2 linked regions of the Arabidopsis thaliana genome follow. The protein of the gene in region 2 interacts with the protein of the main gene of each other region in a pairwise test. Each region holds a gene or a part of one and is shown on either strand. Other genes may lie near its edges.

Region 1 (4,303 bases), on a different chromosome or scaffold from region 2:
TTTTCTTCTTAACCAAACTGACCGTGAGAAAACCGTCAAAGACGAGAAACCTGATCCCGAATCGCATACCGAGTCAATCGAAGAAGAAGCTTTGACTCGCTTCTGTGAAGCTACAACAAAGAATGGGTTACCTTGCACAAGAAGTTCTCCTAAAGGAAGCAAAAGGTGTTGGCAACATAAGGAGAAAACTTCCAGCGATACTTCGCCGGTATATTTTCAGCCAGAGGCAGCAAAAAACGTAGCTTGTGGAGTTAAATTAGGCAATGGATTGATCTGTGAGAGATCTCCGGTAAAAGGACGTAAGAGATGTGAAGAGCATAAGGGAATGAGAATCACCTAACCTCTGCATCACTTGTTTATGTTATTTGTTACCTAACCAGAATTGTTTGTACCAAAACCGTTTTGGTTTCGGTATTGGTTTGCTGAACAATCATCTGTACTGGATGACTCACAATCTCATTTTTTATAAATTTAAAATCAGTTTTGATTAACATCGTTGACTTGCATCTTTGCATTACATTAGATGTTTTTAGATTTAAAAATACATAGACCCGTTTCCCGCCATGCCTCCACTTTGTTACTTGTCCATGATGCGAAAAACTGTAAACGACCCATTTCTTTTTCAACTTCCCTTCGCTTCTTCCATATATCTACGATCGTAATATATCAGAGCTGCCTTCTTTCATTATTTTTCTGTAGCAGAACCGTTTTGTTCTGTTTTATTTTGTTTGACAATGTCGTTTGTTCTATTATCGAAGATGGCGAAGTTGAAGTTTAACCATATACGACACACAATCATTAGCACGCAAAAAAGCACAACCATTATGCCGGGGATAAGTCAGCTCTTGAACAATAGGTCTCTTATCATCTCATCTATTCACAATGTTGTTGCATTTTTATCCTCTGTTTTTTTTCTTACTATTATTGGTCCTTCAGGCTTTAAATTAATGGTCATAATGTATCACCAGATTGATCGGAAAGGAATTCAGTTCCGCCGTCCCCACTATGTTCAAGAGAGAAGACTACAAGCTGACTATACACGACATCGCATTCTCCAAATGGCGGAATCTTATAAGACACAATGATTGGAAAGATTTCAATAATAGAAAAGAAAGGGTCCGTAGATACAGACATGAGGACTTACCCCCTCAACGTTGTACGGGTCTGTATGAGCTCGGTGTAGGCGTCATCGGTCAAGACCAAGGCCAAAACTTTGATCCTGATAATAATGTTCTTGGTGTATATGTCGGACAATGTGTAGACGTAAAATCAAGACTCCAGGATTATGGAAGACGCGGTGGTCATTTGCCCTCGGGTTTATATGAGGACATATTCTCGGAAGGATACTCAGTTTTTTATAGATGGGCACCAGTAAATACATGTCTTCTTATCTTCTCTAGTTGGTCTGCTACGTATACACCTTTGATCCTAACTCATGTGATTGTTTCTCTGCTTTACCGTGATTTATCAGATGGGATCTAATTAAGTAGGAAGCTGCTGCAACAGAAGGGATGCTTTTGAGCACTTTTGATTATGCATGGAACACATGCAGTAATGGGGAACGACGCCATCTTGAGTTACAGAAGCTCGGTGACCCCGAGTTTATGAGCAAGAGAAAGTCACAAGTGCTAGTTCCTTCTATTCGAGACCAAGTTGTTACCATCAAAGTAGAGAAGAGTAATTATACTTTCCTCACTTCAACACTCAAAGTGATGAGACCATTTGGTTAACCGGAGTAAACCTACATCGACTAGGTCAAAGATATGGCTTTTGTTTCTCCTAAATTAATTGGATTGTAACCCACTTATTCACGTTTCAAATTTGTAGTGTTAGTAGTTAATTTGTATAGTTTCTTTTTTTTTTTGATCAAAAATTTGTTACGGAAAAAGTTTGGTAAGAATGTCGGCAGAATCACCACCGTCGATTAACGGAAAGATAAATCTAATCTAACGGTTATTGATAAAGCATAAAACTGACGGCTCCGATTTTATTTTCTAAAAATCACGTTAATCACGCACCAGGTGGACTATCATTGTCTTTAATCTATGGATTTAAAAATTTCCGCACGATTAAAGAGCGTCTCGAAAATTAACTTTTATAGGTAGGAGGAGATAGAAATCGAATCTTATCGCCGCGTTAATATGCCACCGGCCGGAGAACTCCGACATCAATCTCCATCAAAGGAGAAACTATCTTCCGTTACCCAATCCGATGAAGCAGAAGCAGCGTCAGCAGCGATATCTGCGGCAGCTGCAGATGCGGAAGCTGCCGGATTATGGACACAGATCAAGGCGGAAGCTCGCCGTGATGCTGAGGCGGAGCCAGCTTTAGCTAGCTATCTATATTCGACGATTCTTTCTCATTCGTCTCTTGAACGATCTATCTCGTTTCATCTAGGAAACAAGCTTTGTTCCTCAACGCTTTTATCCACACTTTTATACGATCTGTTCTTAAACACTTTTTCCTCCGATCCTTCTCTTCGTAACGCCACCGTCGCAGATCTACGCGCTGCTCGTGTTCGTGATCCTGCTTGTATCTCGTTCTCTCATTGTCTCCTCAATTACAAAGGCTTCTTAGCTATTCAGGTGAAATCTTCATCATTTGATCTGATGAATCCACAATTTCTATATCTTGCGATTTGATTTATGAATATTGTTTTAGGTTAGGTTAGGTTGATTCTTCAGTTATGCGAATTTCGGATCATGATTTGGCTTTGTTGAATTTGAATTAGGCGCATCGTGTATCACACAAGCTATGGACACAATCACGGAAGCCATTAGCATTAGCTCTACACTCAAGAATCTCCGATGTATTCGCTGTTGATATCCATCCAGCAGCGAAGATCGGAAAAGGGATACTTCTAGACCACGCAACCGGAGTTGTAGTCGGAGAAACAGCGGTGATTGGGAACAATGTTTCAATCCTTCACCATGTGACACTAGGTGGAACAGGTAAAGCTTGTGGAGATAGACATCCGAAGATCGGTGACGGTTGTTTGATTGGAGCTGGAGCGACTATTCTTGGAAATGTGAAGATTGGTGCAGGTGCTAAAGTAGGAGCTGGTTCTGTTGTGCTGATTGACGTGCCTTGTCGAGGTACTGCGGTTGGGAATCCGGCGAGACTTGTCGGAGGGAAAGAGAAGCCAACGATTCATGATGAGGAATGTCCTGGAGAATCGATGGATCATACTTCATTCATCTCGGAATGGTCAGATTACATCATATAAAGTTGTTGTTATAATTGTTTCTGTGGTTTTGAAAGTGAAAAACTTTCTGACCATTCGCTTATAGAGAGGTGCTGAGGTAAGTGAGCTTTGTTGTATTTGTAATTTACAAAACATCTTACGATGTTCAATACAAGAAATGGCCTTAATTTGATGTTATTATTCAATCATTAGTTATCCAAGAGTTTATACACTTCTTCTACTTTGTATTCGGGTTTGGCTCGGATTTACACTTGTCTGCATCCATTTTACGGGCTTGACAAACATCGAGGAGCATTGAACTTGTTCAGACTAAGTGAAGCATTCTTCGCCTTTACCCCGGTTCATGAGGGACTATGTTTTCGTCAACCGCAACTAATCCTTATGCGTATCTTATATCAGTATATAACTTACGGCTTCTGCAAAGAAGGATTGGTCTCCATTTCCATTTACAATTCAATTCAGACTAAAAAGTTTCAATCTGATGATCCAAATAGTTCAGGATCAAGACTGTTAAACCATTAAATATCAATATTAAGCAAAAACCAGATTCTAACTTGGTGAAATCAATGTGCTTGTAAGGCCAATTAGAGAACCAAAAACAAAATGCAAAATGAATTTTATTACTTGCTTCTGCAGAGTTCGTCACAAAACAATTGTTACAATGTCACAAGAACAGAACATTTTACATATGTATAAAAAAATGAAATAATAAACAACATTTTGTGGCATCTTAACAAGAGAACTGTCGTGTCGGCTGACTACAAAAGAATGTGTTATATGATGGTGGCTTGAATTTTTCTTCTTCGTCTTCTTCTTCTCAAATCTCCCTAGTATTGTTCTATATCTACAAAAGCCCTAAGATTTCTTCTCCTCAGCAAAATTAGAACCAATGAATCAGTAGTGCACACACACTTAAGCCGCCGAAATTCTGGTTTTGATAGGCTTAAGCTTTAATCCCATGCTTTCAGGAGAGAGAAGCTCAGGTGAAATACAAGAAGGGCTAAGTGGACTTCTAGGGCTCTCGGAGAAAAGAGATGGTCTGTATAATCCGTAACCCATCAAGAAATATTCCATTGGGATCAACATTGCATGTGGTTG
Region 2 (5,109 bases):
ATTTGGTCTGATCGATTCAAAATTATGTGACGAAACGAGTCTGTCTCAATAGTTTTCATTGCCATAAATGTCAATATTGTTTTTTTTTCATCAAGTCTCACCCATCTCACGTGAAACTTGATCCCAAAATTTGGACAGACATATATATACTCGAACAAATGTAAATAATTGTACCCTTTGGTCTCAAAACGAAAGGATAAATCTACATCTATGTCAGTGTCACTCTCGTTCGTTTATTGCTTTGGCCACTCGTTTGCTTTGATTCCACTACACCCAATTCACAATAATTTCAAGGTTTTCTTAATACTACTAAAATTAAAAGATTTAAATTTGTTTTAAGAGGTTACATTTCTAAAGGTCGTTGTATATGCTATAAATGACGTTGGGCCATATCCATATCCATACCTCATGTTTTGCTCAAAACAATGATGTCTCGTTGGTCCCATCACTAAAACACAATCTTTTTCATGTTCCTATTTATTTATCTAAACCACAAATCTTTTTCTGTGCATTAATTTTCTTTATCCGTTAACTGATCATTCATATTTCGACTGATAGTTGTCTCATGATCTTATTAACAATGTATTCAGTTTTTATGCTTAAGAAACAATATTGGCATGACACATTGCCCACATTGTCATATTCGAGTATTAAAACTCAGCATTCTCATATTTTTATCTACATCTTCCACTAATATGAAATAGAGAAATAGAGTTGTGTTAAGATCTGATAACTCTCGGAATGAATGAATATTTATAAGATTTATTGCCAATAACAGAAGCTGCATATTTAAAAGAAAAAAATAATATTCATAAGCTTTGGTATGTTTTATATACATCGACCACCACCAAACTATGTGTACTTTAGTTTAATGTATAAAGTGCAAGTGTGCAACAACACTATGCGATTTGTTGTACGGGACGTAATTAAGACTTAATTATTCTATTAACTATTGCAGTTACCTATATTGTTAAAGCTTATTAAGGTCACTTTCCTTGACAAATAACCCATGGAATCCGTACGGAACCCTTCGCGGCAACCTCACGGCGGCGACGATTTCAAGCTCCGGCGATTTAGCGTCCATCACCAGAAACTTCGATTCTCCAGTCACTTCATCGTGAACATACGTCACCACATAACCATCATCCTCCTCCGCCTCCGGATTACCAGGATCCCTAGCTACGAAAAACGGTTCTCCGCCGTAACAACCTGAACCGTACATTCTACGGGCCACCGTACAATCATCCCGATCTCCTTTAGACACATCAAGCTTCACCACACCGGAGATCTTCGGCATCGGATCTCCAATCGCCGCGTAAACGTACCTGCTACATCTCCCGAGAAACGCCGGATTAATCACAGCGAAATCGAGATTCCTCGCTGAGATCGGATGACGTCTCACAATCCCGGTGACGAGATCGATCTTCACCTTCTCCACCAAAGCATGAACCAGATCCATCCTCTCTAAAGTATGTTCAATCGACATAATATTCGGTGCAATCAAAACGACGCTGTTTCCATCATCTTCATCCCAAGCATTAATAGCGTGAATGATATTGAATCCAGGAACTTCGAACCATTTCATCTCCGACTCATCTCCGGCGTACTTAGGAATCACTCCAAGCCTTGGAGTTTTTCCGTTATCAGTACCAACCGGAGAACCACCTTCGAGAACCAAATCCAACATGTTCATCCTCATGCCAAGCTGAATCTCTGCGAAAATCGCGTGACGTTTCGTGATCGCGAAGTCATGGAGAAACGACGGAGACGTCATCGAGAATATCGGAACGTCTCTTTGTTTTTTCCCGGCGGAATCAAACCGGAAATATGTTAAAAACGGTGGAACCGGACCGTACCGGAAAGCGAAAGTTTCTCCGGTTATTGGATCGGTTTTAGGATGAGCTGTCATACTCATCGCTAATTTCCCGTCGAAATCGTACCGTCCGATCGTTTCAATATCTCCTGATTCGGTTAATCGGACGGCGTAGGGTAAATCAGATTCACCTAAAGCAAAGAGACGGTTACTGAAGAAAGCTAGACTTGTATTAGCTAAACCAATGCCGTTAACCGGATTATACTGTCCGGTTAAAACCCTAGCTGCCGTTAAAGCTCCACGAGCTACTGACGCCGTTACACCGTTGAATCCGGAAAACACGTTAGGCATAACCGGAGCTCCGGTTTGTTTCTCGACGTTGTATTTATAAGTCTTGACGTATCTGCTACAGAGAGTGGCTTTACCGTTGTGGATTTTTATGGCGTGAAGCATACCGTCGCCGTCGAAGAGATGGTAAGGACCACGAGGGAGAAACTGTGGATTTGGACCGTTACGGATGTAAGCGCCGTTAAGTGACAGTGGAAGAGTGCCGTGGATGATTTCACAGTCTGTTGGAGGAAGCTCGTCGAGGACAGGAGCGAAGTTATCAGAGAGGACATGTTTTGGATCAACGGAAGGACGTGAAGGTGGATCGATGAACGTGTTGATTACATCTTCGACGGTGGTGAAGAGAGCTGTTGCGAGAGTCATTTCTGGTCGGAGTTTCGGTGGTGATGAGACTAAGGTGTGATTGGTTCGGTTGTGGAGTGTTTTGGGTTTGTTACGACGATCATTGTTGTCGCTTGGGTTTGTGATTGGAGAACGTTCTTCGACGACGGCGGAGTTGATACGGAGGAGAGTAGGAGAGGAAGATCGGCGGCGAAGAAGAGAGTGATGAAGAGAGAATGTGGAGGAGAGGAAGGAAGAAGAAGAAACAGAGTCCATTGCTCTCCTTTTGTTTTTACTTTCTTTGGCTCCACGTTTAAGGCTGTGAAGGAAGATGAGTGTGTTGTGTGGGGCTATTTATTAAATTTTCAAAATCAAAAATCATTTAATTGTTTCTTTGTGAAACTTAGATTTTTATTCTTTGATGTGAAGCTACTAAAATCCTTTGGTTCGTAGTTTATGTGAAGTTCTAATCTACAAATATTGGTTTGTCTATATTGTTATTTTCACATACGATAATATTATTTTCCTAAATATCAGACGAATTATCTTGTATTTTATGTGCTGCAAAACTATTCATCAACTTTGACAAAAATGTTTCATCGAAATATTTTGAATTTGTATATTATCTCGTTTGTGAACAATTTCTCCGACCTGGTTTCTTTGAGCCACTACAGTATTATAAAGTTGTTGAAAAGGAAAAAAACTATGATAATCATAAAAGTATTTTATTAAATTTGATAGTTTTTTTTGGGTCAAATTGTTAGTCAATATATTTTAAAATTTTGTTAAATGTTATGTTTCTTACATTTCTTCTTTGGTAAAAACATATTTGACTCCTTTTCAAGACCGTGTACGGGGCATTCTAGCTACTAATGATTTAGCGATAACAACAAAAATGTTTATAAAAAAAACAAAAAAAAACAACAACGTGAAATGGGAATCTTGGTCTGTAGTTGTTGATATAAAAGTAAACTCGATTAGGTATACGAGTCTACGAGTGACATTGGTCGAAATTTCAGCACCCACAAATGTGGAAACTATAACATGTTGGATAGAAAGAATAAAGTTTATTACACCAACAATCGTGATTGTGAGAAGGATACAAAACTACTGATACCAAACTGTAATGTCGCATTATACTAAAGGAGGAATAAAACATGTAGTCGTTATTTTCGGTCACTTGGGTCGGGGAAATTTTTGTTTTTTGTATATATATATATATATATATGACTACTATTCTTGACTACAAATTTAATTTTTAAAAACTTAAGTTTGATTGATAACCTTTACAAGTCAAGGGAATGGATCATGGATGGTTCAGAGTTCAAAGTGCAAAATCATCAAAAATATGAAAGATAGAATGACATGTAATGGTACAAGTGTTGCATATTTGATAATTGATATTGCCACTCTTTGGGGTTATGCATGCACAATTCACATGTTTATGTGTTGTTCCTACGTTGTAGTTTTCTAGATAATATCGAACTCTTTACTACTTCTATTTTTCAAGCTAAACTAATACAAACTTATCTATTGAAATTAAGTTTATATGATTTAAGTCGATTGATTAAACTGTAACTGTAATTTTTTCTTCTTTCTTTATCTTAAAGTCCCAGCCAATCCTCTAAGCAAAATTTAGCAAAAAAATCAAAAAACAAATCCTCTAAGCTTTTTTTTTTTTTTTGGTAGGGACCAATCTTCTTTAGCTTTTAAACAGACAGGACCAAAGTTAAAAGAGTAGAATTGAGCAAGATTATCGTGTTTGGATAATTGAATGCGATCGGGGCTTACTTTTTCGGTTTGAACCAAAGTAAAACTGAAAAATCATTTCTAAAAATCCAAATCTCATTCGGTTACTTGGTTCTTAGCAAGTACACTTGTCAGTTGTCACTAAACCATGATCGAATCGGCTCGTCTTATATAAGCTTAAGCTGTTGAGGCCCAAATAGATAAAACCTTGAAATATGGATTCACGGGAAACTCAAAATTTAGCTGGAGGCCCAAATCCATTAGATCTGATTAGAAAACAACAGTAGTAGTCTAGTAGAGTTACAACAAACAACAAAAGCTCCATGTCTCCTACTACAAAGGTTCTTCAAACACACAACAGAGAAAGAAAGAGAGTGAATTTACAAGTGGAGTAGAGAGAGAGAGAGAGAGAAGTCAAGGAACGGTCAAGCGATCAGAACCAAGAGGCTTCAATGAAGATATGAGACGAAGGAGATGAAGTCTTTCTACAAATGGCTCCAACACAGCTTCTTCTTCAGGAGGAGCAAATGCCATACATATGCTCAGCTCTTGTACCGCCTCTCCATATTGCCTGCTCCACAATAAACCATATCTCAACAATTCAAGATTTTCTATTTGATCAAACTAAACAGACCAATACTCACAGAACCGGGACAAGCAACAAAGAACCACTTAATGTAAGGATTTAAATCTAAGTTTACTGTACCTGTCGTAGTACAGCATCATACCAAGGTCTCTGCGAAGTGCCCAGTTATGAGGTTGCAAAATCAACAACCTTTCTGCAGCCGCAATAGCCAACCTTCGATCAGCAGAAACCGAATGTGAGGCAGAGAATAATACTAAAGGGTTTATAAGATCTTTGTTTTTTGAAAAACGTT

Evidence for each region.
Region 1: the proteins of NCED4 (region 2) and SERAT1;1 interact in a two-hybrid assay, tested with the Arabidopsis thaliana proteins (one large-scale study listed by BioGRID).

Annotation. Positions count from the first base shown.
Region 1 is NC_003076.8:22,960,421-22,964,723, reverse strand, and holds SERAT1;1 (serine acetyltransferase 1;1), read left to right. Parts: upstream 1-2,010; 5' UTR 2,011-2,141; coding exon 2,142-2,585; intron 2,586-2,731; coding exon 2,732-3,226; 3' UTR 3,227-3,495; downstream 3,496-4,303. Other genes in the region: ET2 (effector of transcription2), read left to right, coding at 1-340; AT5G56770 (transcription repressor-like protein), read left to right, coding at 735-856, 969-1,371, 1,491-1,730; NDL1 (N-MYC downregulated-like 1), read right to left, coding at 4,118-4,303.
Region 2 is NC_003075.7:10,479,484-10,484,592, reverse strand, and holds NCED4 (nine-cis-epoxycarotenoid dioxygenase 4), read right to left. Parts: upstream 2,975-5,109; 5' UTR 2,759-2,974; coding exon 971-2,758; 3' UTR 714-970; downstream 1-713. Other genes in the region: AT4G19160 (transglutaminase family protein), read right to left, coding at 4,646-4,802, 4,938-5,030. UniProt on the Arabidopsis thaliana protein: May be involved in carotenoid cleavage.